Linked DNA regions of Arabidopsis thaliana. The protein of the gene in region 1 interacts with the protein of each later gene in a pairwise test. Each region holds a gene or a part of one and is shown in the gene's direction. Other genes may lie near its edges.

Region 1 (5,861 bases):
TAAGGTGTCGTGATGGGTGAAGTGAAGAGCTTCTTGGCTGTTGCTGGCGTAAGAGGTGATTGCATAAACTTGGAGTAATCATCATCGTTCACACTAACTGCAATGGCAAAATAAGAGAACAAAGAGATCAAGAAGCTGATAAAATTTCAATGTTAAAACAGATTTTGTAGCGAAGTTGTCTTACAAGAGGAACTTCTATGTTTGGCGTTGCTCATCTTATGGTTCTTGCTTGAATTGAGGAAACAGAGACAAGAACAGATTGGCTTCTTGGAATGATGATGTTGATGTCTAGGTTTGACATTGCCATGACGGGCACGAAGAGGTCTAATAAAGACAGGTCTTTTAACTCGGAAGCGGAAGAGAGAGACAAATCTGTTGCATGATTTCGAAAGCTTTGATTTGAAGTTAATCAAAGTTGCTTTCACTCTCATTGTCTTGAAGCTTTTTTGGTGATGATGTTGTTGTTGTGATCCTCTTTGGCTTCTTGTTTTGTTTTGGTGTGTATAAGGTTAGAGGATTGGCTTGTGTTGCGTGGAGTTCACGTCTTTGGGTGTGAAACTGATCATGATGGTGGAGTCCCATGAAGTTTTTAAAAACAATGGAGAATAGAAAAGGTTTTCTTATTGCAAATGTTTGGTGGCTCTTGCTTATAAACAAAATCCAATATGATGAGATAGTTTTGTTTTTGTATACTCAAAAAGTCGTTGATATATTGGTAGGTCAACATTGTTGAACATAAACCAGTCCCACGTCTAGTGAAAATATCTCCATTTTTTAAATATGAATAATCACTTGTGCTTATTTAAAGTAAGGATGGAAAATGTTTTATTTTGATTTTTGAATATCATTTTTTTCCTTCTCGAAGTTAAAAGATAAGTAGTTGCCAAAACATTTGATCTGGAAAGTGGAAATGTATAGAAGAAGAAAAAAAGTGTCCTCAAAATGTTCGGCGTTAGTGGACAAAGTAGACCAAAAAATTTCTCATATTCATTATTATGACTCAAAAGTTGATCCCACTTTATTCAGAGGAGAAAATGGAACATATTTGATTATCTTAATTTCATCATTTGTGTATCTGTATCACCTTAATATAACATAAAGTGCTACTATACTAAATTATTTCTACCTAAAAACTTAAGATAAGGTTCACACTTTACCAAATTCAAAGAAGCATCGAAATGAAACTATTGAACTTCATTATAACGTGTACTTTGAGTCTTTAACCTAGATAGATTCACATATGTTAAACTTTTAGTTGAATTGTGAAAACTTTGTTTTTATTTATTAAATTGATTTGTCCGTTTAGAAACGTTTTAATATTTTCAATCAAAAAGCATACTTCGAGGAAAAGAAGCTGTATTTTTCTTTTGTAATTGCCATTTGGTCAACCTTTTTGTGTATTCTTTAAAACTGTTTACATTTGCTACTGTTTTATAATTCGCTAATTACATTTTTCAGTTATTTTATCATTTCGATGAAGAGTAAAATCTCCATGAAATGATGATAGAAATCTGTCAGAAATCAGAAGCAACTGATTCTCTGTTTTATAATTATTTTTGTACTATTCCCTTAATTATATAATATTTTAGATAAAAGTTATGTTCTTATGATTTTCAGTTTTTCACCAAATACAATTTCAATTAGTCAACCAATTTTAAAAATTCACCATAAAATAAATTTATTAATTATGTGAGCACAAGCGTGTAAATGTGATGTCTCAAGTTGATGTTGATGATGAATGATGATGATACTAATAAAAGACATTCTTTAAGCTTTTTCTAGTAGTAGCCCCACTAGTTTCCAATTTTAATCTTCAGTTTCTTCTTTATCTGTCACATAGAGAACTTTGCTTTCTCACCTTCTTCTTTATCTAAGGAAACAAAAACAGAGTTTTCTTAAGAGAAATATCACAAACTTTTGTGAAAAAGAGAGAGACAAGATGGGGAATTACAAGTTCAGAATTTCAGAGATGCTCCCAAATGCATGGTTCCACAAGCTCAAAGACGTGACTAAACACTCTAAACCCAAAAACAAAGCTTCTTCTTCTTCCTCAAACACTTGTAGCAAGAAGAAACCTTCCTCAGATTCTCTTCCTCAACACTCTTATTTCTCCAACAGCTTAGTAGCTAACAATCCTCCTCACCATAACTCACCAAGAAACTCTCTTCACACAAAAAAGATGAGTAAAAGAAAGACACTTTACAAGCCATCCCTTAAACCTTTGACTCCTCCTCCTCTTCTTGTATCTGCAAGTTTCAACAAGAGCAAGATCAACGATCAAGATTCGTCTTACAGCTTGTTCCCGGCTATTGAAACCTCCCCTGAGTCTTTTGTGTATAGTTTCTACGAAGAGGATGATGATGATGAGTTCGTTGAATTTTCCAACTTCAAGATCAACACAAAGAACAAAGCTTTCACCAAGCAGAAGGTCAAAGTGATTGATTCGGTAGAGAAAGCTTGTACTGCAAGCAAGCCGATTAAGAAACCGCAGAAAAGCCATCTTTCTGTGAAAATTTCAAGAGATGAAGATGATAATGAATATAAAGCCGAGAAGAAGTACCAAAGGCAAGTTTCTAGTGGAAGAAAACCATCTGCTGGGATAAACCTCAAAAGAGTGAATTCACCTAGAATTCAACTCTCAGGTACTCGTAGAAGCACTTCTAGAAGATCAGAGAGCAAACAAGATGTTCTAGAGAGCTTCGCTGTGATGAAGCGGTCCGTTGATCCAAAGAAAGATTTCAGGGAATCAATGATTGAGATGATAGAAGAGAACAACATCAGAGCTTCGAAAGACTTGGAAGACCTTCTTGCTTGCTACCTTACTTTGAATCCAAAGGAGTATCATGATCTTATCATCCATGTTTTCGAACAAATCTGGCTTCAACTTACAAAAACAAAGTAAAGAAAAAAATAATTCTTAATGTAATAGTAGTTAACCTAATGGTGAAAGTAATTAGTATCATTCTGCTTGTGAAATTGTAGTTGTTGACTTGTTGTTGATGTTCATAAGAAGTTAGATGGAACTGTGGAGATTCTCTCTTTGAATCCCACTTTTTATGTATTGTTTTCTTTATTTATCTTTTTGGAAAATGTAAGCAAATAATAAAAGTTGTTATCATATTGTCGTTTTAATACAAACATGATCACTAAGGGCGTGAAAACACTGTTAATTAAGACAGATTTTTTTATCACTAATTAAACATATTCTTGTCTTCTCTATGATTATGAACATATAAAACTACTCACAAAAGATGATGCTTCAAGATTTGATTATTTCTTAGAATATGAAGATGGATTAATTGCGCCAATATCATTTGAATATTTTGAAAATACAAAGTTGAAAATGGCGGTAAACAGCAACAAGAAAAAGACAACAGTGAAGAGACATGAACAATTTGAAAACGCAACAAGTACGGAGTTTATATATATGCATGAAGAACATTGGATAATCGTTGAAGGTAGAGAGAGGACCACTGACACATAAAACTGAGATGTGATTAAAGAAGAAAGAAACAGTGATGAGATTTAATCCTTAAGGGTTTTTTTTTTTCTGTGAAGAAGGGAAGAATGAACTCATGAAGAAGAAGAAGAGGACCACTGTTGCAAATTCCATCCCCTACCACAGTTGGCTTATGAAGTTTCAGCAAAAGACATGTGATATGGTATGGTTTCTGACTTCTGAGTGAACATAAGCAACAAATATTCAAATCAATGGGCCTAAATGATCTTGCAGTTTTGGATTATAAAGTTAAGAATTAAAAAGAATAGGTGATATATGTATCATAATTTTAAGTTTTAAACAAGTATGTCAGACAAAATTCTACATTCTAATTTTATACATAGATATGAGATAACCTCATAACCATAAACTACACCAAATTTTCATGAACAAAATATGATTCACACGAACTTTTTTCTATCTTGATCACCTAGCTAACTTGACAAATTAGTTGTTCGTCTAAAACTACACAAACATTCAAAGTTCGTTTTAAATTCAATATATTTAAAAATAACAGTTAAAGTTTTATTAAATGGCATTCCAAATATTGATTCCTTCTAGAAAATTTGTGTGGTTTTAAATTGTGAAATTTGGATCTAGAAAAAATAGCAAGTGTGGTTTCTTGTGACCTATGGTTGTTAGTGTAGTTGTATACCATTTTTTAAAGTTACATTGTAATTTGTAAACCATTTTTGTGTGGTTGACAAAAAAAAAACCTATGACAAAATTGCTCCGTTTTTATTTTCAATAACAAATTATAATGTAAATTAATATGTATCATAGTGTTTTTAATAAAAATATTTAAAATTAGGATTGATTGTTCTGAAAAAAATAACGCAACTAATACTTTGTTAGCAAATACTAACGTTTACGTACCAAAAAAGCATTATGTAAATCCATTCATCCATCATTGTATACTTGACTTTCTACATTATTCTTTTGTTGTATCAAATTTAAAATTAATGAATGAACTTGACATAATAAAACACAAAATATATACTTAAATTGTACGATATAAAAGTTTGATTTACATATTTTATATCTATAAAAAAGGGTAAATAAATGAAATAAAACTTTTTTTTTTTTTTTTGTCAAAGAAATGAAATAAAACTCAAATTACATTTTTATGTCGTAATGCGAGCACACAAGTGAGTGCATATCCAGTATTAAGTTTTTTTTTTAATAATTCAGAATTGAAAGCAAAGGAAAAAGAAGAAATCGAAATCGGAAACTGTATATTGTTGTTCTTCGATTCCTCCTCGCTCTACGCCGCGTCCTCTCTCTCAAATTCATCGGAAGCAACCTTCTTCTCCCATCATCGCCTGGTTCGTTTCTAAACCCTACTTCTTCTATTTCACAGTATATCTTCCTTTAATTTTCAATCGAATCTAGCTTTGTGTCGATCTCAATGTAGATCGGAATCAAGTAAAAGAAATCGATGAATTCCAAAATGTTCCCGATCTATTGCAATGCACGAATCGTAGAATTATCACCTACATTAGTCTTGATCTAATCGCCCTATTTCAATTTCAAATTCGACATCGAAGTTTAAAGGAGATCGCAAAACCTAGTTATAGAATCGTTGCGTTTGAGTTGTTTCGCTGGTGATGTAGAAACCCTAATTTTGGTTGTCCTGTGTTTGGTACTTGCTCAGAATCCAATGGCAACGATAAGGAACTTGAAGATAAAAACATCAACATGTAAAAGGATTGTGAAAGAGCTTCACTCTTATGAGAAAGAAGTTGAGAGAGAAGCGGCTAAGACTGCTGATATGAAGGACAAAGGTGCTGATCCCTACGACCTTAAACAACAGGTACAGATTTCATTGTTTATCTCTCTGTATTCGAAGATTCGGAGCCCGTCTTTGTTCGTCAGAATCTAGAAATGCTGTGTTGTGCTGTGTTTAGACTTGGTTTTTCCTAATCTGTGTATGTGGTGATGCAGGAAAATGTGTTGGGTGAGTCTAGGATGATGATTCCGGATTGCCACAAACGTCTCGAGTCTGCATTGGCTGACCTCAAGTCCACTTTGGTAAACTACATTTTCCATTGTTATTGCTTGCTAAGCGTCGGTCTAGCTTTATGTATTAGTTTATAAGAAACGCTGAGCGGTGATTTGAAGTTTAAGAGCAGTAGTACATTATCAAACTATAACTTTTATATGTATCTATAGCGATTGGATTAATCCCCTGCATGAAACCATCTTAGTCTCTCTTTGAGGAAAAATGATGAATAAGGACACAGAGGAAACTGTGAATTCGTACTCTGTCTTTTGTCTCTAATGAAAACTGAATTTGCAGGCGGAATTGGAAGAGACGGATGAGAAGGAAGGTCCAGAGATCGAAGATGCAAAGAAGACAGTC
Region 2 (5,082 bases), on another chromosome or scaffold:
ACCAAAAACGAAGTATCATGTCCTTCTTAATTGACTTCTTGGGAAATATATGTTAGGTATAAGTTAACATGTGCGTGAGTCACGCAGCGAAGCAGCGTGACCAAAAATGAAGTATCATGTCCTTTCTTGATTGACTTCTTGTGAAATACTATATGTTAGGGTCTTCAAAAAAGCAAGATTTGGATGGTTAAAAAGCCCATATTTTTTGGGCCTTAGGTTAATTAGTGCCGATCGATCCTAATAGGATTCAAATTCACCACCACCTCCCTAAGATTAATTAACATCATCTAATTAATTAGGTCGACCTCTTAAGAGATTTATTCCAAATCTATTTGTAGAGTGAGCCTGTGAGATTTTTATTCTCAAAGATCTTTCTCCGTCTGATCATGGAAAGTAGAAAAACTTTTGATTCCATTCCAGATGATCTCTTTGTGGAGATAGCATTGAGATTGTCTTCAAAGTCAATCGCTCGGTGTCGTTGCGTGTCGAAGCTATGGGCGTCCATACTTTACCGTCAAGATTTCACCGAGTTGTTCATAACGAAGTCATCCGCTCGTCCACGTCTTTTATTTGCGGTCTTAAAAGCAAGTGGTTTGATATTCTACTCTTCGCCTCAGTCTCAGAATCCGTCCCTTGAAGTAGATTTTCATAATCATATGAAGTTCCATGAAGACATGAACCTATACATGTGTAGCTATGTCTCTGGTTTGTTCCATATCCCTGTCCATGATATTTGGACCTCAAAGGCTTCAGTTTGTGTGATATTTAACCCTATCACAGGACGCTATGTTAGCTTACCTGAACAAATGGCTACAAAACGTCAAGAAGCTTTTTAGGGTTTGATCCGATTGGCAAGCAACATAAGGTTTTGTGCATGAACAAGAGACTCAATAAAGAATGGGTTCATTATATTCTGACATTAGGAACTGAAAATTTGAAGTGGAGGAAGATGATATGTCCCTTAACCCATGAACCTTATTATGGTAGAGCCTTATCCATCAATGGGGTTTTGTATTACTTTGCTAGGACATCGTGTTTTCTAGTAGTTTCCTTTAATGTTAGGTCTGAGAAATTCAAGTTTCTTGATGGAAAAGACTTCTCTAATTTTCATAGAGAATTTATAAACTACAAGGGTAAATTAGGTGTGACTAAATTGGAGTGTGATGCTGGTGATGGACATCCCCGTGAGTTGTGTGTGTGGGTTCTAGAGGATGTTGAGAAACAGGAATGGTCACAGTATATCTACTCCTTGCCGAAGATTAAGGTCAATCGGATTAGAAACGACAATATTTTCGCAATGTTTTTGCCTTTGACTATATAGAGGATCTTAGTATTGACGATTCGAAGCAACTCAAGTCAAAACCACAACAACGTCGACATGTAAAGAACAAGCAGGCAATCCTCCTGCAGAACAAGTACGATTTACTAGGTAACTCAGAGTGAGGATCTTATCTTGAAAGCCAAGCCAACGAGTCAAGCTATTTTGGTTAAGAGTGTTACTTGTCATTTACAGGTTACTTACGTGTGAGCTTTATCACCCTGTTGGCGTAGAGTGAGAGCAAACTAATATTTTTTTGTATGGTTATCAAAAGGCCTATGAGGTTTTACCTAGGTGAAGAGGGCTCTCTATATCCAATAACTTGATTGTTAAGAAACCGATGTGGTCAATGATTGAATAGTTGAATTGTCAGAATTGATGTTAAAACAAGAAAGTCATGTGATATGAATACCACTGTAGATTGATTAGAGATTTGTAGTTCATTTTCTGTTGAGATCTTATGAACAAAGATTTATGCTTTATTAAAACTAAACGAACACATCAAATATGCAAAAGAATTGGACACTTAGCTTCTTAAATTTGTTTTCTCTCAACCTTTTCAAGGTCTCATTCATAGGTCTGTTTATGCTTCTTCTGTTCTTCTTGATGAGATGCTTTCCTCTAGTACTAATTAAGTCCATCACGTAATATTTTTTTTTTTTTCTAACAACACTAAAAAAAAATTAAAGATAATATAAATTTGGATGGTTATAAAAGCCCATATGTTTCTTGGGTTTCAAAAGGTTAAATTTCAAAATCACCACCCTTCCCCTAACAGAATCTAATTACATAGGTCGAACTTTTAGCAAAATACGACGAAAATGAAGAATTACGCATGATTGCTATATGTGTCAATCCGACACTTCTATAAAATATTATATGCTTTAATTACTTTTTTCTAAATGTGTAATTTTACATGTATATATATTAAACCAAGCTTAATATAATAAAATATTTAAAAGATTTTAGATAGAAGTCATTTTCAAAAAGTGGTGGTACGGTATTAGAAAATGGACATTTTGAAATTTCTCCAAACGTTTACTATTTAAGATGAATAAATTATTAAAAAATGATTTAATTCATTCAACTCAAAATTGAAAAAAATTGACCAAATTATAAAAGTAGTTTGTTCAATTTATTTATCTACTATTTTGCAGAAAAATAAGTTGAAAGTTATTTTAAATTTCCAAAAAAAAAAACACAAATTTGTTTCCTAGCCATTGAGAGAAAGAAAAATCTCAATTATTCCCAGTCATTCATTTACACACAACCATTTTCCACCCCAAAAATTCAACCAAGTTCTCATAAATTTTAGATAGGTTTTAAAAAATAAGTTGAAAGATATTTGAAATTTCCACACAACAAAAAAAAAACAATTTGTTTCCTAGCCATTGAAAGAAAAGAAAAACTCAATTAATCCCAATCATTCATTTACAAAGCCATTTTTCACCCTAAGACTTCAACCAACTTCTAATAAATCTTAGACAGGCTTTAAAAAATAAGTTATTTAGATTTCGTTCTAAGTAGTTCAATAATTTTATAGGTGAAAAAATAGATCGTGTTTTTAAATAATAAATAAAGTTATATAAATACACGTTTTAGCTGCATGATTGTTAGATGCTTTTATATTGGTTTGACCCAAATGAAGAAACCATGGTCCACAATTGTCCCCCTACTAGTCTATATGAACACCTCTTCTCACCACACACACCAAACATTCATCACAATTCCCTAAATCCTACAATCTTTCTTTTCTTCCATCACCTAAGAGTAAACCCTACCTTGCGTCCCAAGTCTCCACCGATAATGCAACCATCCACCAACATTTTTAGCCTCCATGGTTGTCCACCTTCGTACCTTTCCCATATTCCTACATCCTCACCATTTTGCGGACAAAACCCTAATCCATTCTTCAGCTTCGAAACTGGCGTGAACACTTCACAGTTCATGAGTTTGATCAGCAGCAACAACTCGACCTCAGATGAAGCAGAAGAGAATCATAAGGAGATAATAAATGAGAGGAAGCAAAAGAGGAAGATATCTAACAGAGAATCGGCAAGAAGATCGCGTATGAGGAAGCAGAGACAAGTGGATGAGCTTTGGTCACAGGTGATGTGGCTTAGGGATGAGAATCATCAGCTGCTTCGTAAGCTTAACTGCGTTTTAGAGTCTCAAGAGAAGGTTATTGAAGAGAATGTTCAGCTCAAAGAGGAAACCACTGAGCTTAAGCAAATGATTAGTGATATGCAGCTTCAGAATCAGAGTCCTTTCTCTTGCATCAGAGACGACGACGACGTTGTATAGATGATTTTTATTTTTATTTTTTTGGGGCTCTAGTATGTATCAACAAATGTATATCCAGAGATCTGTCTCAGCTTAAGATTTAATTAAGACTCTAAATTAGTAATTGTTAAAGCAGAGTTCTTCAAACTTGTGTTGCCCGTGAATAGAAGTAAGAAATTGTTTCACAATTGTTTGCATAACAAACGATAAAAATTCACATTGCTGAAGTATAATTTTAAAAAAAATTACATGCATAAATATTTTTGCAAAATGTAAATACAAGCATCAATTACTAACAGTAGACTTTCTTCTTTTTCTCTTTAAAATTTTACGTTTATAATGACCAATTTTGTTCTTTCTAAATTGGCTTAAGTAGTGTCTTTGAAAAAAATATACACCAGCCGTAAACGGTTTATTTTCTTCCATTTCCATTTGCATTTTTATGTTGAAAAATTATTAAGAAAAGAATTAAGATTGTGATTAAAATAATAAGAATATGAAAAGCAAATACGTAAATCTAACGCAAACAAAAACAATTAAGACCTTACATGGTTGTGTACTTGTGTGTGAAACTCTCGTAAATCTAATTATGTCAAGCAAAGAAGAGCTTTTATCTGTAGTATTTTAGTACCTTGTATTTTATTTTATTTTAGTACCTTGTATTGGTAGTGCATGGACTGAGGTTTTGCAAGATTTGGCTTAGAAAGCAGTTAATGCTATTTTTTAAAAACCTAAATTACACTATTGATTATTGGTAAATCTGTTCAGCGGCATAAGTAAACCTATAACTTGGATAAAATGTTAAATCAAGCTTACATCAATCTCAGACAAGAAGACAAACAAACAATCTTACGTAAAAGGAGACCCCTTTCCAGTCAAGAAAACAAACGGCTTTTTCTTCGAATTCGTGTGGGTGAGAAACTTACCGGCCAAGAAAACAAAGAGCTTAGCCACTAAAATCACATAACATAATGTAAGTGGAAGACTGAAAGAGACACTTGCGATTGAAAGCCGAAGAAAGAAATAGAGACAGCTTTTCTAAACCACCTCAAAAGCTGGAAATACAATTCAATATAACACACAACACTTTATGGTCAGGACAGGAACAAATGACATAAGTTTTTGTTTTTTTGGTAAGTCAAAATAATAACAGTTTGGTCCCAGTTCTCAAAATCATCGATCCATCTTTTTTCTTTTCTTTTTCACTTTGATTATTGTATAAATATACATCACAATCTCAGCCTATATATAGGTTTGTGCGTGTGTGAGCTAAAGTAGTCTCTGTAGTCTATATATGTTACTAAAGTAACTTCTTTAGTTGAGACAAGTATGTTTGTTTTATTTCTTTTCCTCGCTTCGTTTTCGTTCGATGATTGGTTCATTGGTCTTTGGAAATGGTAGGATCCTATATCATCTTTTAAAAAGCCCTTAAATAATGTATAAGAGATCTTAACTAATATTCAAAGAACTCATTACTAGTT
Region 3 (9,798 bases), on another chromosome or scaffold:
TCTCACTCTCCCATTACTCATGACAAATAATCAAATTTATTTGTTTCTTTCTCATCGACTTTATTGTTTACAACTTTATGTATAATAAAACTTCTTACAGAGTTAAGAATGAACAAAACTTTCATATGAATCTTAAGCTCACAAAGGAGATTACCACTAATTAGAAATTACCAAAAAAAAAATCAGTAAAAAAGAATGTAATTCCGGCAACTTTCAAACTCATGAGGCATAATAATGGTTTGCAGAATTTCATATGACGACGATTGATGGATATGAAACCATATGGTATATTGACTAGACAATAAATCAAACCTACGTGGCTATGAGACTATATTATGAGTCCTTGTAATAGCTTTTGGCTAATCAAACCTTTTTTTATCTCCTTTAGAGAAAGTGGTGACTTTAATCTTCTAACAAATTGCAATTGCACCACATTTAATCAAATCAAACCTAACTCTAATTTTATCGAATCTGGATGATAACTCATAATTTTTCCTTCAACGTACTTAAAAGACCAAACCCGATGAAAGCCTTTTCAACAATAACTTAGTTCATGATCCTTTTGTCTGAAAACAGGATCTGGAAATCAACGTTGTTATAGTCAGGTAATATGAAACCTATCACGACAGATATAACAGATCATTGCAATATATAATAACATTTCATATTTAATCATAATTTATCACCACGAGTTTGTATATATATAATCATTTGGTTTTCGTGAAAAACTAATTGTGTAAATATTTCTTTATAAGTTTGTGATTTTTGGTAGCAAACATTTTGTTTTATGGACTCATTGTCTTTGCTTTCATGTTTTTTGTTTTTCGTAGGACCAAATTTATAGGTTATACATTCATCTAAAACCTTAAAAAAATCAACTAAAGATTTACATTCTTACTGATCATAGCAAGTAAATTAGTCTCCTTTGTGTTGTCGAAATGACTCAACCTCACAACATGATCACACTTTCTGATCCAAGAGCTATCCAAAATACACCGGTTACATTAAACTACGAACACATTTCAATGATAATGAACAGTTAAACACATTACATAGCTTTGGTTATAAGACGCAGAAATTAAAAAATCAATCAAAATATTCGATACTATGAAATTGAATGTTCATGTGAGGTCGAAAAGCGGAAACGTGTCGAAATAAAAATGAAGAGACTAATAAATATGTTGAAGGTTAGACAATTGACACCATTGAAGATATGATAAAGCAGAGGAAAAAGGATCCATTACAAGTTGGCTTTGGTGGGTAAAGAGTATAAATGCCTAAGAAGAAGATCCTCTCCACACGTACGAAAAAGGAAGGTTCGGCACGTAACAGATAGTTGTGCATACGTGTGAAAGGAGGGTGGGATTCACGTGAGAGAGATTGAACCATTTCTATTTCAGAAAGGAAAAAATAGAAAACGAGAAAAAATATCGGTAGGAAGGTAGAAAGGTTAAGCTGTCAATTGTCATTCCAGGTTTTGTAGTTGGAACATAAAACTTTTGTAGCTATAATTTTAAAATAAAACCTGCAACGTATTTTTATGAAATTTTACGTTTCTAGGGAATATTAAAATGGAAAAACAGAGTGTTTTTATTTTATTTTATTTTAATTACTACTCCGACATGAATTAACTGTGTAAAAATAAAAAATAAAAAATAACAGAATTTGCGTGCTGATATGATTTTGACATGAAAGATTCCCACATGGTGTCACACAATAAACAAAATTCAATGTTATTATATAAGTGGAGTTACACTTGTGCTTTCGACATTTCCATTAATTATTTATCCCAATATGGACTTATGCCTACGGTGCGATATCTAATACTTTCTCTAACCATTTGTGGGATATGCACCAAAACTCGAATTTGGGAATGCTATTTTTTTAGCAAGACAGACGTGATACGAAATATGTCACCGCTTTAAGAAAGAAATTCCGATATCTATATATTAACCATGGAATTAAAAATATAGTCTAGCCATACCAAAAAAAGAAACTCAAGTACTCGAACTCAAAGCTGTTGAACCAAAAAAACGGTTATGTGTCGATTTCATCGGTTTTCTAGATTATCCCCCACATAAACCTAATTAACATTTTGAGCACTTGACTTCTGAACCGTCCTCCTACCTTTCACACGTTCCAAACCACAACTCCCGCTCGTGCGAACTCTCATCTTTTATTGTTTATTTGATACACCAAACAAAAAAAATGCACACCGAATTTCATTACATTATCCTTCAAGCCATTCATAGTTACATCGTACTCGACCCTCAAGTAGTAAAATTTAATTTATGATCACAAGATCGATGGCCGGAAAAAATAGTTTGAATATATACTTTTTCTAGCCTTTGCATTATTTTGCATGAGTATTATTACTTCGGCCATGCTAATTGTTAGAAAATACAGCTTACATTTTATTTAACACTGTATTGGTATATATGTATGTGGGATATATTATGTTATCATTAGAAAATGCTAATTAATATGTAACTAATTTGTCATTTCCCTGAAAAGTCGATTGGAAGGGATAATTAACTTGTGGTTAGAACTTAAAATCAATTGATTATATGAGATTAATTTGTTGTGGTGTTGTGATTACGACCAGTCGTACGGAGTTTTAGAGAGTCATATTCTCGCATAAAGTAAGTAAATTCAATTTTGATGTAGTAGAAAAAAAAAATTAACAAACGTTAAGAAGATTTTTTTTTTTTTTATGAAGTTTTTTATTTACGAAGATCTTTTAGGGTATTCCAGGTTAAGATAATAGAGATATGCTACATTTAAAATAAATGTGTAGACTTTAAATTATGCTGATGAGGACTGGGGAGCTATGCACCAACAATGACCAGTTACGTAAATATGGACTTAATTGACCCTATCTGCGAGTCAGTCCAGTGAAATCAGAAGAATGACAGATGAGGGTATTATGGGAAATATAAATATGGCAGTATTTTAAATATTATATATGTTTTTTTTTTTTGTCACGATAGTATTACTAAAATTTATGGTGGTGGTTCGTATCATTGAGATATGACCTTGTACTCACTTAAAAAAAAAAAAAAAAAATTACGAAAATAAACATCTTCAAATTGTTAATGGCAGAAGACATTTACGTGAAAAAAAGACGCATCTTAGAAATTTCTATCCTTCAATCCTACTATTAACCTTTTCAACTAAATCTTTCATAAGAAACCATAGTTTAAAAAATCACCGATTTTTTTTTTGCACGAGCAGCTTTATATATATATAGGAAACCAACTAATAAAGAAGATTGGTGGGCTAAAAAGGGTGACGAAGAAGAAAGAAGAGTGACCTCTCTCTCGCATATTTTTCTTTCCGATATATATATCTTTTATAATATTTGTGAATTCTGAATAAACTCTTAGTAAGAAAGAAAAGGAGAGTCCAGAAAAAGAAAGCGAGAAAGAGAGAGAGAAAACGATACCTAAGCTCAATTATCTTCTCTGCAACAAACTCCAAAGGTATTATCTTCTTATGCTCTCTCTTTGCATACATACATATATATAGATACCTACATATATATATCTCTATGTCTTTGTTCATCATCAGTTATATAGGTGATGTAGATAGATGGACAAAAAAACAGCGTAAGACCTAGTTTCTGACTTACATATGTTTTAAATTCTTTGTCTGAATCATTACAGGATCCGAGAGAGAGAGCTCTGGAACGATATTAACATATATCATGAAGAAAAAGATTGAAGTATTGATATGGGAATAACTAAAACTTCTCCTAATACTACAATTCTCTTGAAGACTTTTCACAATAATTCTATGTCCCAAGATTATCATCATCATCATCATCATAATCAACACCAAGGAGGTATCTTCAACTTCTCTAATGGATTCGACCGATCAGATTCTCCCAATTTAACAACTCAGCAGAAGCAAGAGCATCAAAGGGTAGAGATGGACGAGGAATCTTCAGTCGCCGGAGGTAGGATTCCGGTCTACGAATCAGCCGGTATGTTATCCGAAATGTTTAATTTCCCCGGAAGCAGCGGTGGAGGAAGAGATCTCGACCTCGGCCAATCTTTCCGGTCAAATAGGCAGTTGCTTGAGGAGCAACATCAGAATATTCCGGCTATGAATGCTACGGATTCAGCCACCGCCACCGCAGCCGCCATGCAGTTATTCTTGATGAATCCACCGCCACCGCAACAACCACCGTCTCCGTCATCCACAACTTCCCCAAGGAGCCACCACAATTCTTCAACTCTTCACATGTTACTTCCAAGTCCATCCACCAACACAACTCACCATCAGAACTACACTAATCATATGTCTATGCATCAGCTTCCACATCAGCATCACCAGCAGATATCGACGTGGCAGTCTTCTCCCGATCATCATCATCATCATCACAACAGCCAAACGGAGATTGGGACCGTCCACGTGGAAAACAGCGGAGGACACGGAGGACAAGGCTTGTCCTTATCTCTCTCATCGTCTTTAGAGGCTGCAGCAAAAGCGGAAGAGTATAGAAACATTTACTACGGAGCCAATTCTTCTAACGCATCACCTCATCATCAATACAATCAATTCAAGACTCTTCTTGCTAATTCTTCTCAACATCACCATCAAGTATTAAACCAATTCCGATCATCTCCGGCTGCTTCTTCCTCTTCCATGGCAGCGGTCAATATCTTAAGAAACTCGAGGTACACAACGGCCGCGCAAGAGTTGTTGGAAGAGTTTTGTAGTGTTGGAAGAGGATTTTTGAAGAAGAACAAACTTGGGAACAGCTCAAACCCTAATACTTGCGGTGGTGATGGTGGTGGCAGCTCTCCTTCGTCGGCCGGAGCAAACAAGGAGCATCCTCCTTTATCGGCGTCTGATCGGATTGAGCATCAAAGAAGGAAAGTGAAACTACTCACCATGCTTGAAGAGGTATGTTCATATTAACTTTTAATATTGATTTTGACTTTGTCTATACTCTACAGTGATATTAGTTCATACATTTTACGTAAAATTGTTTTCGTTACATTTCGATAAGATTCATAAATTGATCCAAGAGTTATGACAAAGAAACAAGAAACCTGATATGACTGAATTGGTCTTTTGTTTTCTCGATTAACTACTTATTTTTGATTATTTTGGTAGAGTTTGATTGCGCAATCCTACCATCATTTGTTTAAAATTAAAATTAATTTAATCATTTTGCTCGTGTGACGGTCGTATTAGAAAGTATATTGAATATTTTGATGCTTAGCGTTTGGTGGAATCGATTAATCAAAGAAAATGCATTAAATAATTACGATTAATTATGTAATTGGCGTTTCCTTCTCCATATAAGCTACTCTCCAGTTACGTCCTAAAGCTAACCCTTGACGTTACTTATTTGTTTACCCATAATTGAATTATCTACTTTTTAGTTGACCTTGCTTTTTTCTCACTAGAAATAAATATTTTAGTTTATGCTCGAGGATACGATAAAATGTGCTGTTGGTAGGATTGCGCAAACATTGAAGTATATTCTCTGGTCAATAATTTGTCTATATAATATCTTATTTTCTTATTTTGTCTCGTTTAAAGGTAACTAATTAATCTCATTAGTTTATTTATTAGATGATGCTCGTACACAAGCATAGGTTCCCGTGATAAAATCTACACTAAATAATAATCACGTGAACATATAACACAACACACACGAGTTAACAATAACATTAATTAAAAGAAAAAGGCAAATATTGATATTTATGGATTGTATAATGTATAGTTTTGTTTCGTTGGCAGGTGGACCGACGGTACAACCATTACTGCGAGCAAATGCAGATGGTTGTGAACTCTTTCGACATAGTAATGGGCCACGGTGCGGCATTACCGTACACCGCATTGGCTCAAAAAGCTATGTCAAGACATTTTAGATGCCTTAAAGATGCAGTTGCGGCTCAGCTTAAGCAGAGTTGCGAACTTCTTGGGGACAAAGATGCAGCGGGAATCTCTTCTTCCGGGTTAACAAAAGGTGAAACTCCGCGTTTGCGTTTGCTAGAGCAAAGTTTGCGTCAGAACCGTGCGTTTCATCAAATGGGTATGATGGAACAAGAAGCTTGGCGGCCACAACGCGGTTTGCCTGAACGCTCCGTCAATATACTTAGAGCTTGGCTCTTCGAACATTTCCTTCACCCGTAAGTCAATTTTTTCTTTCTTTCTCGTTATTTATTAATTATTATAGAGAAACTGAATTTTGAAAAAAGCTGAGAAAAAGTATTTATTTTCTCGTTATTTCACCTCTACTTTCTTTAGTACTATGTCTCTAGAATTTTGCTATTTTATTGTTAACGAGAGTGAACGAAAAAATGGAAATAAAGCAAAAGAGTAGTGTTTTTGTACTATTTTCACCTCTCTGACAAATTGCTTTAAGAGTAAAACAAAACAAAAAAAGCCAAGTAAAAAAAAAAAAACTGGATCGATGATATGTAATCATCAACTTTTCTTTTGTCTGTTAGATTCTCACGCCCTTGTTAGGAAAAAGTCTGTACTTTTTCTTGCGTCTACTTGATTGTATTGTATATAGTGAAAAGATAAAGAAAATAAATTACATTGAGTTTATTAGGGCAAAGATAGAGAGTGATGTCATTTTCTGGTCTCTTTCTCAGGTATCCAAGTGATGCAGATAAACACCTATTGGCTCGACAGACTGGTTTATCCAGAAATCAGGTCAGTCTACATATATACATATAGCCAACGATATAATGAAATTTAAAATCTCCATGAATCAAATACATATGCCTCTACTTCACCAAGTTGTGTTAGCTGAGTATACTCTTAATCAGACAATCAAATGACCACAGTCTGGATTACGAATTCTTAACCGCGTGTTTTAAAGATTTGTTTTAAACCCATCATTCTATGTTTATAAATAAACTCCACAATAGTACACAGTTATATATATAACTACAATATTAATTTATCACCCAAACCCATTTCATAATTTTCATAAACATATACATGCTTGTTATAAACATCAAATAATAAATACTAGTAGTTACTCAAAACGAATTTGACTAAGCCAAAATTATTTGACACCATGTACGAGTACACTAACTAGTAGCCTGAGATGACTCTATTGCATGGTTTTTGTTTCTTATCTTTGTTTGGTTTGTGATATGACAGAGGAACACCATGTGTTTTGCCTTCCACTCACCATTAGCTTTTCTTGGGATTCGTCTTTAAATTATTATAGCATATTTATATATACAAAAACATAGGAGAGAGAGAAAGAGATCGACATTAAAGACGCAAAAGGGTCCATTTTTCCTCAAGTACATCAAAGTTTGCAGCTTTCAATTGTCCCAAAGAAACCCTCAATTTCTTGTATCCCTACATTAAATAACCAAATGACAAATAAACAAAAAGAGCCCTCAATTTTATTTCGATATTATAATGATTCAACTAGTGAAAATTTTGTCTCTTTTATTCAGGTATCAAATTGGTTCATAAATGCTAGGGTTCGTTTATGGAAACCAATGGTGGAAGAAATGTACCAACAAGAATCAAAAGAAAGAGAAAGAGAAGAGGAATTAGAAGAGAACGAAGAAGATCAAGAAACAAAAAACAGCAACGACGACAAGAGCACAAAATCCAACAACAATGAAAGCAACTTCACTGCCGTTCGGACCACTTCACAAACTCCAACGACAACCGCACCAGACGCATCAGACGCAGACGCAGCAGTAGCGACAGGCCACCGTCTAAGATCCAACATTAATGCTTACGAAAACGACGCTTCATCACTTCTACTCCCTTCCTCTTATTCCAACGCCGCCGCTCCTGCCGCTGTTTCTGACGACTTGAATTCTCGTTACGGTGGCTCAGACGCGTTTTCCGCCGTTGCCACGTGTCAACAAAGTGTAGGTGGGTTCGATGATGCTGACATGGATGGTGTTAACGTTATAAGGTTTGGGACAAACCCTACTGGTGACGTGTCTCTCACGCTTGGTTTACGCCACGCTGGAAACATGCCTGACAAAGACGCTTCTTTCTGCGTTAGAGAGTTTGGGGGTTTTTAGTTTGCTTTTGTCACTCCATTTAATTAATTAATTATAGTTTCCATTCTTACTTATTTTAATTGAAAATCTATTTTTGTCTCTTAAAAGTCAAAACAATACATTAGTCTAGCCCTCCTCTGCTTTTTTTTTTCTATCTCGTGAAGAGAAGAAAACGATACGTAAATCCCTTCGAAAACTAATGTACGTTGTACGACTTATTGTTTTCATATATCTGTATTCTTGGTTATTTAATTTCTCGAGATTTCTTTAATTGTTCAAAATGAAAACCTTCACTTTATAACATAACAGTCCCAAATCGTTCGAAATCACTGATTTACAATCATATAGATTCACTTACCATGAATCCATGATACAAGCTTGAAGAGGTGACCCAATTGTTTGGGCCATCAATAAGGAAAGTGATAGGCCCAAAATTCTTTTATTGGGCTTTAGCGTATCTGTTTTTGTATAGATATCACACAAGTTTCTATAGATGTGTTCAGTGTTCATGCAGTTTTTTATAAATTTCTCACCGACATTTCTAGATATGACTAAAATGAATTTATGAACATGCGGCTTAAACCTTATTTTATCAGATCACTTAGTTAACATCTAGAGCAGGTGAAAACAAGAAGAAAAACAAATGTTGTTTTTGAGGTGCATAATGAAAATTGATGAGAAGAAGATTGAGGAGAAGTAGAAGAAACCGACTTTTGTTATGTTGTTAGTTGGATGAAGGAGTGAAAACCAATGGCTCTTAAGAAATATATCATTTTATTATATTTCTCTTAATACATAAAACAAGCAAACAATCTTTCTTTGAATAAAAAAGAAATTGATCGACATAAGGATTTATAAATTTTATATCCTTATGATGAATCAACTAATTTTTGAAATTGTTGTTGAAATACTATACATACAAACAATAATAACAATACGAGATTAAATTCAGTTATAAGAATCCCAAATGTTTATCGAGCGTCTTGATTTCAAACACTGCTGATAGTATTTCCACGAACCGGGTTTGGGCTGTACTTAACCGGGTACGAGGCTTCAACCGCAATCCCACACTTACCGGATTTGGAGGCTGCCAAGTTTCTCTCCATTCTAATGTAACCTTCCTCACCCCAACGTGGACCCCAAGAGTTCCTTACAATCCAGTAGTCAACACCGTTCTCTGATCCGTACCCGACAGCAACCACCGCGTGATCAAGATTTGTACCACAACTTCCGGTAAAAATACCCTGCCAACCAAAACCAATCAGGTTAATAAAAATCCAAAAACCCGGTTTTGTTACTTAATACACAAATCAATGTCGGTTCGCTTACCGATTGGTAATGTTGAAAAATTCTTCCACCGGCTTCAATAGCTACACTAACCGGTTGGTATGAAATAGCTTTCTTCAACGCAGTCTCGTCTTTAGTAGGAACATCTTCGTACCCATCAATACTCACAACTCTAGAATTCTTCTGCAAAAACACAAAGAGATAGGAAAAATAATCAGATTTTGCAATTCTTGAAAATAAAGTGAAAACAGAGCAACTCTGTTTTTGAGTGTATACCAAGAAAGAATTGCATTTTCCGCCGAATCCACGGTAAGGATAATCTTTCTCAGTGTTTAAGCCACCATTTTTCATGATGAATTGAAAAGCGTAGTCCATTAAACCGCCGTTGCAACCTTGATTGTAGGATTTGTCGCAGTCAACAAGTTCTTGTTCTGATAGAGATATGAGTTCTCCTGTTACGATCTTGTTTATACCTTCTACTGCTGCAGTAGTCGAAAAC
Region 4 (9,773 bases), 2.8 Mb from region 1:
TTAGTTTTCAAACATAGAAAATAAATCGAAAATAGAAAGATACTGGTAGGAGTGAAGAAGGTTGGGCTGTCAACTGTCAATCCCATTTGCAGTTAGAAAAAAAATATGTGAAAATTAAAATCATAAAAGTATATTTGGAGAATTTTAATGTAACTTCTTTCTTTGTTTTCTGTTTTAATTTTCTGCTATTTCAAGGACGTGAGCTATGAAAATAAGATTTTAGGTGGCTGGAGAAAGTTGTGCAAATAAAAAAGTGGCTTGAGAAATATTTCTAATTTTGATTATTTACAAACTTAAATTTTGATTTAGTTCGATGAAATATTAATCATTTACTTGGCTGCCCATGAATCACGATTCATATAGGAAATGTAAAAATAACTTACACATATTTTCTCACACAAACAAATGTGTTTTCAAAACAATAAATAATTTGGTAAGCGTTGTTGGGGTCACTTAAATTATGTTGATATATATAAGGTGGGGAGAGGCAAAAATAGCACGAAGTTTCAATTATGAAGTAGCTGAATTGGTAGAAATAACCAAACAGTTTTGAATTTAGGAAATAGTCCAATTTCTTATAGGCAACAAAAATATTCTAAATTATCCGTTAGCAAAAAATAATATTTATTGAGAAATCACTTGCATTAATTTAGATTAAGTAAATAGTTCAAACAAAAATTTGCGTGCTACACAATTTTCGATTTGGTATCTGATTCTGGCATGATAGATTCCAACATAAGTCTCCATAGATATATATACAAGTGGGCTTTTCACTTTTGCTTTCAAGCCTTCCATTAGTATTTATCCTATTGTGGATTTATAACCTACATAGCATATATCCAACATGTCTCTCTAACTGTTTGTGGGATGGATACGCACGTCAAATCGATTTTGGAAATTTTTTTTTTTTTAATATTTAATATACCTAGGATAATGTAATGACTAATGATACGTTAATTTTAACAGAAAATAATTGTGTTTGTATCTATACAACGTCATTATAATGTATGGCTGAAATTAATTTTATAAGTATAGGTTTAGAAAAAGAGATAGCTGAAGGTGTAGTTGTGAAACTACAGAACCATAAAATTTCGTTTTTTCCATGCATTAGTTGTGTGTGGATGGTTTACATATTACAAACATCGATGATGGTGAAAGGCTATCGGCCGACCGTGAAATCGTGCAGAGGATTAATCTTTGGATTTTAGTAAATATTTTGTAAAGATGATTTGGAGGTTTAGTCATCAGGCATGTTGTCATAACATCAAGGTTTTTTTTAAAACAATGGTATTTTTAAAAATATTATTGTTAAAGGGATATTTTTTAAAATGGGTAATCTAAAAAGCAATTTTAAAAAAATTTCAATAATCTTTGAGTGATAAAGTTTTATTAATTAATATAGATATAAAATAATATTTTGAAAGTTGAGAGTATCGTTTAACACAGAATGAGATATTTCCTAATCAATTAACACAAAATGAAACAACCTCGATTTGCAGCTAGATTTTTGCTTTATCATATCAAGCTTGAGGTAATCTCTAATGCTTTTTTTTTTACGATTTCGTGATGATAGATGTAATATAGCGGTTTCTGCAAAGAAATTTAAAATAATTGATTTAGCCACATATGTTACCAAAATGTAATTATAATTTGATCGATTTTTATGTATTTCATTTGTTTCATATTATAATTTGATCGATTTTTGATATATCGTATGATTAGTTAATTGAATAAATGTACATACATGAAAAAGTAGTCTAAAATGACATAGGTCTCCCCTAAACAACAAATACACACAATATTAAAGAATAAAATTAGAGAGCATCATAGGAATATTATATAAGTATTTAATTTGTCAAATAAGAATATTTTATTTTATTTTATTTTGGCTCGAAATAAGAATATATTGAAGCACAAAAATATGTGGAAGTATTTATGGTGGTGGTTTGGTTCATTGAGATATGACCTTTGGACTCACCTTATCTTCCTATTCTTTTTAGTTTGCTTTCATAAATTAGTTTCCAAATTAACTCCTTTAAAATGTTGATATCAGCCGACATTTCCGTGATAAAAAGTTTTTTTTTCTCTTATAAATAAATAATAACGTTGACAAAAAAAAAAGACAAGAAAAAAAAACAAGGATAATTTCGTAATTTCAGGATGTGTATAGTTTTTTTTTGTCTTTCCTCCTCATCGTTATTGATATGAAGAAACCTTTGCCGATTAAAATTAAAAAGAAGATGTTTATAAAAATACTTCATTATAAAAAAATGATAAATCAAGATTTTAATAACAAAAAAATATTAAAGAAGATTGGTGGGTTAAAAAGGGAGGCGATGAAGAAAGAACAGCGACCTCTTCTTCTCTCTTCCCTCTCTCTTCCTTTCTCTTTGGGAGAGATTTTTTTATAAGTTTTTGGTTTTGCAGAATTTGCTGAATAAAAACTCTCACTAACAGAGAAATATAAAATAAAAAGAGTACTCAAGAAAAAGAAAGCTAGAGAGAGAGGTATAGAAGAAAACGATAGCTATAAGCTCATCATCAATCATTTCTTTAATTCTCTGCAACTCCAAGGTACTTCCTCTCTCTCTCTCTCTCTCTCTCTATACCATATATGTAGATGATGACCGAAGCTGAAAGTGAGAACCTTAAAAGAGTTACAAGAAAGAGATTGGAGAAAAACTGTATAATACCTAGTTGACTCCTCTCTCTCTCTCTCTCTTTCTTTTTCTTGTATTTTTTTTTTGTATGTGTTATATAAGATTCTCTGTGTATGTCTGAATCCTTACAGGATCCAAGAGCTTTGGAAAAAAGATATAATGAATAACAAGATATGGGTTTAGCTACTACAACTTCTTCTATGTCACAAGATTATCATCATCACCAAGGAATCTTTTCCTTCTCTAATGGATTCCACCGATCATCATCAACCACTCATCAAGAGGAAGTAGATGAATCCGCCGTCGTCTCCGGTGCTCAAATTCCGGTTTATGAAACCGCCGGAATGTTGTCTGAAATGTTTGCTTACCCTGGCGGAGGTGGCGGCGGTTCCGGTGGAGAGATTCTTGATCAGTCTACTAAACAGTTGCTAGAGCAACAAAACCGTCACAACAACAACAATAACTCAACTCTTCATATGTTATTACCAAATCATCATCAAGGTTTTGCTTTCACCGACGAAAACACTATGCAGCCGCAGCAACAACAACACTTTACATGGCCATCTTCCTCCTCCGATCATCATCAAAACCGAGATATGATCGGAACCGTCCACGTGGAAGGAGGAAAGGGTTTGTCTTTATCTCTCTCATCTTCATTAGCCGCAGCTAAAGCCGAGGAATATAGAAGCATTTATTGTGCAGCCGTTGATGGAACTTCTTCTTCTTCTAACGCATCCGCTCATCATCATCAATTCAATCAGTTCAAGAATCTTCTTCTTGAGAATTCTTCTTCTCAACATCATCACCATCAAGTTGTTGGACATTTTGGTTCATCATCATCATCTCCCATGGCGGCTTCTTCATCCATTGGAGGGATCTACACGTTGAGGAATTCGAAATATACGAAACCGGCTCAAGAGTTGTTGGAAGAGTTTTGTAGTGTTGGAAGAGGACATTTCAAGAAGAACAAACTTAGTAGGAACAACTCAAACCCTAATACTACCGGTGGAGGAGGAGGCGGAGGGTCCTCGTCATCGGCCGGAACAGCTAATGATAGTCCTCCTTTGTCTCCGGCTGATCGGATTGAACATCAAAGAAGAAAAGTCAAGCTACTATCTATGCTTGAAGAGGTAACGTTTTCACTCAATATTTTTTCTCTAACCAAACTAATTAATTTTCTATCAAACTTTTAATGAACCGTTCTAATGATTGAATTGATCAAACAACCAATTTCATATCAATCGCTACAAAATTTTATTTTTCTTCGTGATTTTTTTCTTCTTATATAATTAATTCTAAATCGACCAATATTTTCATAAACTCTATATATGTTATTTTCTTAAAAAAATAAATGTATAGAGAATGACCGACTGGTACAAGAGCACGACACATGCTCTAGTTGGTAAAGCCTGATTACGCAATCCTACTATCACTTATATAATTTTTCTAACTAATATCATTATATGGTGTTATATGGTCTAATTTGATATATTAATGCATATTTTGTGTCACGCGTTTGGTGGCATCGCTTAATCAAATTTAACATAAGAAATTAATATATGATTGATTAAGTGATTTAGTCTTCACAACCATAAATTTTAAATTAGAGTTTCCTTCTCCATATAAGCTAGCCACCTTCACTACGTAACCAAAACTAGTCCTTGAAGTTACTTCATTATTTATCTTACAATTTATTTTGTAGTTGACATTATCTTCTTTCAAGAATTTAGTATATGTTCCAAGATAGCATAAATTGTTAGCAAGAGAAGATAACACATTGAAGTATCTAAACGAACTAATCACTTGAGGTTTATATTTTATCTTAGAAATTGAGCTAATAAAAAAAAAACAAGAACTCATCTATGTATAGTTCATTTATTTAAAATTTAATTTGTAGGTGGACCGACGGTACAACCACTACTGCGAACAAATGCAAATGGTAGTGAACTCATTCGACCAAGTAATGGGTTACGGCGCGGCGGTTCCGTACACGACATTAGCTCAAAAGGCAATGTCTAGGCATTTCCGGTGTTTGAAAGACGCGGTAGCGGTTCAGCTTAAACGCAGCTGTGAGCTTCTAGGGGATAAAGAGGCGGCAGGGGCTGCATCCTCGGGGTTAACCAAAGGGGAAACGCCGCGATTGCGTTTGCTAGAGCAGAGTTTGCGTCAGCAACGAGCGTTTCATCATATGGGTATGATGGAGCAAGAGGCATGGAGACCGCAACGTGGTTTGCCTGAACGCTCCGTTAATATCCTTAGAGCTTGGCTATTCGAGCATTTTCTTAATCCGTAAGTCCATTTTCTAATCCCTTAATAATACTTACCTACTCTTATTCTTCGATAATACTAATCTTCTTGAATGTTGACTATACATTATAAAATGTAGACTACCATAATGCATTGATACCAAGACTTTAACTAATATACGTTTATTAAACTTAAGTTATGAAAGTGACAAAAAAATTTTTTTTTTTATAACTCTTTTGTTATGCGGGAAGATATATTTCTATTTCAATCAAAATTAAAAGCTGCTGGCTTTTTTAGAAAACCAAAATAATTTTTGTAAAATGAAGTTCCGTTTCTTCACTGAGTTTGATTATTTTATGTTTATTACTACTAATAAAAATTTAAATATCAAATATTTTTTCCTTTTCATACCACCCATAAGAATGGTCAGCTAAGAGTACTCCAAAATAACAAGGGTAACAATTCATTGACTAGGAGACTTTCATGAAAACTGTATGTTTATATTTATATTAATGTAGGTTATATTGCATGGCAAATTAAAGGGTTTAAATAATTAATGCAACAAAAGAAGTTTGCAGAGTGAGATCGCAAACTTTTATGCTTTGGGATCATAATAGCATCCTAAGGGTTTCTCTGTCTCTGCCTAACCTTTCCTTTATAGTTTTTTTTTCTTTAATTTGCTTTAATTCATTCCACATACTATTATCAAAAGAAGTAACAATGCCATTAACATAACTACAAAAAAATAAGTCTCAGATTTGTCAGTGGTACAGTTTCATTGGTATATTGTCCCTTAAGAAAGACAGAAATCAAAAAGAGGAAAAAAAAAATCTAAAAGCTGAAAAAAGCAATTTCTTCTGTCATTATTCATCAGTACTTTCTCTATTTAATGTCTGCAGAATTTTACTATTTTGTTGTTAGTGAAGTAAAGAAGAGAAGAGTTGTACAGATAAATATTTTGCTTTATGATGAAAAATAAGTTAAGATACAAAAATAAAATAAAATGCTTCTATTCTGAAATCAGCTTTTTCTTTTGTCCCTTAGATTCTCACGCCCTTGTAAGGAGAAAGTTTGTACCTTTTCTTGCATCTACTTGATTGTGTTTTTCCTCTCTATCTATATTCAAAAAAAGAGAAAAGAAAAAAATTATTGGTTTAGGGTTCTAAAGATTGTGAAGTCATTTTCTGGTCTCTTTCTCAGGTACCCAAGCGATGCTGATAAGCACCTCTTAGCACGACAGACTGGTTTATCCAGAAATCAGGTCAGCCTTTATCTATATAGATACATACATCAATATTTTTTTAATATAATATGTTTTCATACTTATCATACAAGAACCCTTTTAATTACTCATTTACATATATGTACTTAACTCACAATTTACCATATATATCAATCATTTCATCATGCAAAATCTGACATGAGTGGCTTCATGTCTATTCTCTTGCATGGATTTTCAATATCACGAATCATTTGTTTTTCTTGGGGTTCGTTTTCTTCATTAAATACATTATCTACACTTACACACACAAGGATATATAAAACATAGGAGAGAGAGATGTAAGTATTTCTCAAGTACATGAAAGTTTGAAGCTTTCATTTCAATGTTAACTAGCAGACCTCTAAGTCTTGTACACATTAATTATTTACATCACAAGTAGTTTATTACACTTGGCTTCAAATATCCATTAGTATATTTCAACCTTCAAATTGTTGTTTTAACATTATTATGTTTCATGTGTTCAAATAAAAAAACATTATTATGTTTCAAATTTTTAATTTAGAAATTTCATCTAAGCCTTTCAGTAAATACATAAGTTAACATCAAATCAAAATTACTTGAAACATGTCAAAAGTTATCTTGTTCTTGTAAGAATATAATGAAAAATTTAATATATATCTTCTTTTTAATAGATGTCTCAAAGGAAACACATGTATCATAATTTTTACTCCTTTCCTATCATTTTAACTTAAGGTTTTAGCTATCCTATTTTTTTTGTTTCATTTGTTTAAACTAATTTTCTTCACAGTAAATGACTTATTATTTTAACTTTACTTAATATAAAACAAATGAAGTATATACAAAAACAATCAAAACCATATTTAATGTAAAAAGGAGTATTTCACATTTCATTGAAAAGTTTTTTTTTCCTTCTAAAAGTTAAGTTTCTTTTAATATTATAAACTTGTTAAGAGTAAATTGTGATTAATATTAGTTCATATGTCTCGTTTTTTCAGGTGTCAAATTGGTTCATAAATGCTAGGGTTCGCCTATGGAAACCAATGGTGGAAGAGATGTATCAACAAGAAGCAAAAGAAAGAGAAGAAGCAGAAGAAGAAAATGAAAATCAACAACAACAAAGAAGACAGCAACAAACAAACAACAACGACACGAAACCCAACAACAATGAAAACAACTTCACTGTCATAACCGCACAAACTCCAACGACGATGACATCGACACATCACGAAAACGACTCTTCATTCCTCTCTTCCGTCGCCGCCGCTTCTCACGGCGGTTCAGACGCGTTCACCGTCGCCACGTGTCAGCAAGACGTCAGTGACTTCCACGTCGACGGAGATGGTGTGAACGTCATAAGATTCGGGACCAAACAGACTGGTGACGTGTCTCTTACGCTTGGTCTACGCCACTCTGGCAATATTCCTGATAAGAACACTTCTTTCTCCGTTAGAGACTTTGGAGATTTTTAGTCTTCTTTGTTTCTCAATTTATTCATCAAAATTTATTATAGTGAATTTTATTTTTTTGGTTTATCGATATATGTTTTTAGTTTCTTCACATACTTTTAAAATTTCCTTTCTTCTTTAGTTTTTTTTTCTGTCTTTTCTGTCGTAAGAAGAAGAGAGATATACATATATCAAGTGAGATCTAGCTACCAAAGTTCCATATATAATTATGCACATATTTTTATTTTATTCATGAAACTTATATCCTTACATTTTTGTATAGTTTTGTTCATACTAATTTTTTGTTCATATTAATACCCCTGCCAAATTACTCTAAATTTTGTTTTAGATTATGATTATGTACATATATTTTCTGGAAACTAAATTTCGTGTAGCATTTATTGGATTCTTCCATTTGATTTTTGCTAATAAGCGACAACAGTCTTTTAGGAAAGCGCCAATAAGTCACATCACTTTCCTTGTAATATCAAATTAATCATCTCAACTAATCCCTACTTACTACAACTATGTGCTCCTTAATTTAGTAATAGCAACAAAATATACTTGGTACGTACCCGATCGACTTATTAACAATTGTATTATCTTCAGTTTATAGTAAAATAGTTAAGAAAAACGTGACATATTTGTTTAAAAAGAAAACAAATAATCTTTTGAGTTAGGTTCTTTAGTTTTTTTCTCTGAGAAACAATTATCCAAAACTCCAAAGGTTTGGTTACATGTCATATTGGGGGATATGTCAATCGAGACGGAGACGTTTTAGTTCTACAAAGGGACATTAAGCTCATTGCCATGGTGCTACTCATTACTTTTTGTAATAGGACTCATTACTTGAATTGTTTACAAAGGGTTTTCTTAAAAGTCACTTCAATTATTTTAGTAAACAATAATATCTACGTTTCACCTAATTCCTTACAACTAATAAATTTCTATTCGAAGTATTTTATATACTCTATTAGGAGAGTATGATGACACTATAATTGGCAATATAAATCTTACATGATTTGACATTTCATGTTTTAATAAATGTCTTTGGTGAAACCAATAACCCGGAACAGTATTTAGGGAGCAACATACTTTCAAGTTAATTTATCGATCCACCGGTCCATAAAGGTAATAAAAGTTATAAACAAGACTATAAATTAAACTCAAACAAAATGATTTTGTACAACAATTTGTTCGTCTTAAACTATTTCCGTCTTATATTTTTATGACTAAATAAAGGTGCAGCCTGAAATTATAAACTCATTAAATGCATATGATATGAATTTACTAAATACATTTATTTCAATCGTATTGTGGTCCATTTTTTAACCCTTCTTGTCTGACCACTGTCCTTTAGCTACCATACTCTTATAAAAGAATATATAAATTGGAAATTTTCATATACAGATTTTATTCATTATTATTTTTGGCTGGTATACAAAAGCACAATATAGCAACTTCTTTTGTCCTTTGTTATATGAAAAAAAAAAAACTAAATGCAGATCTGAACGTGACAAGAAAATCAATATGCATGAGTGTTAGATTCTTGATTTTAATATTGGAGGCCCTGCCTTTTAATGATCCATACGCAAGCCTATATATTTATTTGCTGTCAAATTCATTGACAGACTCTGTGTCAATGTCATGTTTATAATTTGTTTTGCATGGTTTTAGCCCGCATGATGGAACTTTCTGTGATGTATCCATCACAAAATTTCAACAATATCTTTTCGAATTTGTATGTTTTTTCATGAGACTTGATATAGCTATACAAGTTGGAATACTTGATATAACTATAAGTTGGAATGGTTACAGCAGTTAGGGATATATATCTATTTGAACCATTTTAGTTTAGAGATAAAATTGATCTGCAGCGGTTTGTTATCTGTTTTAAAAATAGAGTTGTTTAATCAATTAACGGTTTAGTCCGTTTTTTCTATTCATCCATTCAAATCCTATGTGGTTAGACTGGCCTCTAAAAATTTGGGTTTGTGTCAACTTTGAACACACTATAACTTCCACCTAGACTAAGGATAGTATTTGTTAAATAACGCAATTTGATTGTTTCTTTCTAAAATAAGAAGTATAGTGATCAGGTTATTTAGCAAAAAGAAAATAGTGTTGCGATTTCTAAGAAAAGTGTTTCTGTTTTTATATTTTTGAATGAATTATGTG

What was found.
Region 2: the proteins of OFP2 (region 1) and bZIP43 interact in a two-hybrid assay, tested with the Arabidopsis thaliana proteins (one large-scale study listed by BioGRID).
Region 3: the proteins of OFP2 (region 1) and BLH2 interact in a two-hybrid assay, tested with the Arabidopsis thaliana proteins (one large-scale study listed by BioGRID).
Region 4: the proteins of OFP2 (region 1) and BLH4 interact in a two-hybrid assay, tested with the Arabidopsis thaliana proteins (one large-scale study listed by BioGRID).

What each region holds. Positions count from the first base shown.
Region 1 is NC_003071.7:12,954,653-12,960,513, forward strand, and holds OFP2 (ovate family protein 2), read left to right. Parts: upstream 1-1,792; 5' UTR 1,793-1,939; coding exon 1,940-2,902; 3' UTR 2,903-3,155; downstream 3,156-5,861. Other genes in the region: OFP17 (ovate family protein 17), read right to left, coding at 1-97, 185-431; KIS (tubulin folding cofactor A (KIESEL)), read left to right, coding at 5,160-5,312, 5,444-5,530, 5,799-5,861.
Region 2 is NC_003076.8:15,536,845-15,541,926, reverse strand, and holds bZIP43 (basic leucine-zipper 43), read left to right. Parts: upstream 1-3,037; 5' UTR 3,038-3,124; coding exon 3,125-3,622; 3' UTR 3,623-3,786; downstream 3,787-5,082. Other genes in the region: AT5G38810 (F-box and associated interaction domains-containing protein), read left to right, coding at 387-705, 837-1,321. UniProt on the Arabidopsis thaliana protein: Probable transcription factor involved in somatic embryogenesis. Acts as a positive regulator of BHLH109.
Region 3 is NC_003075.7:17,365,691-17,375,488, forward strand, and holds BLH2 (BEL1-like homeodomain 2), read left to right. Parts: upstream 1-3,224; 5' UTR 3,225-3,482; intron 3,483-3,488; exon of another isoform or gene 3,489-3,665; 5' UTR 3,666-3,732; coding exon 3,733-4,911; intron 4,912-5,757; coding exon 5,758-6,149; intron 6,150-6,620; coding exon 6,621-6,681; coding exon of another isoform or gene 6,682-6,705; exon of another isoform or gene 6,706-7,137; coding exon of another isoform or gene 7,138-7,197; exon of another isoform or gene 7,198-7,445; coding exon 7,446-8,033; 3' UTR 8,034-8,321; downstream 8,322-9,798. Other genes in the region: CP1 (cysteine proteinase1), read right to left, coding at 9,002-9,256, 9,342-9,482, 9,576-9,798. UniProt on the Arabidopsis thaliana protein: Transcription factor that establishes leaf shape by repressing growth in specific subdomains of the leaf. Negatively regulates knox homeobox gene KNAT1/BP expression.
Region 4 is NC_003071.7:10,105,797-10,115,569, reverse strand, and holds BLH4 (BEL1-like homeodomain 4), read left to right. Parts: upstream 1-2,564; 5' UTR 2,565-2,684; exon of another isoform or gene 2,685-2,791; 5' UTR 2,792-2,833; coding exon 2,834-3,790; intron 3,791-4,557; coding exon 4,558-4,949; intron 4,950-5,951; coding exon 5,952-6,168; intron 6,169-7,145; coding exon 7,146-7,619; 3' UTR 7,620-7,861; downstream 7,862-9,773. UniProt on the Arabidopsis thaliana protein: Transcription factor that establishes leaf shape by repressing growth in specific subdomains of the leaf. Negatively regulates knox homeobox gene KNAT1/BP expression.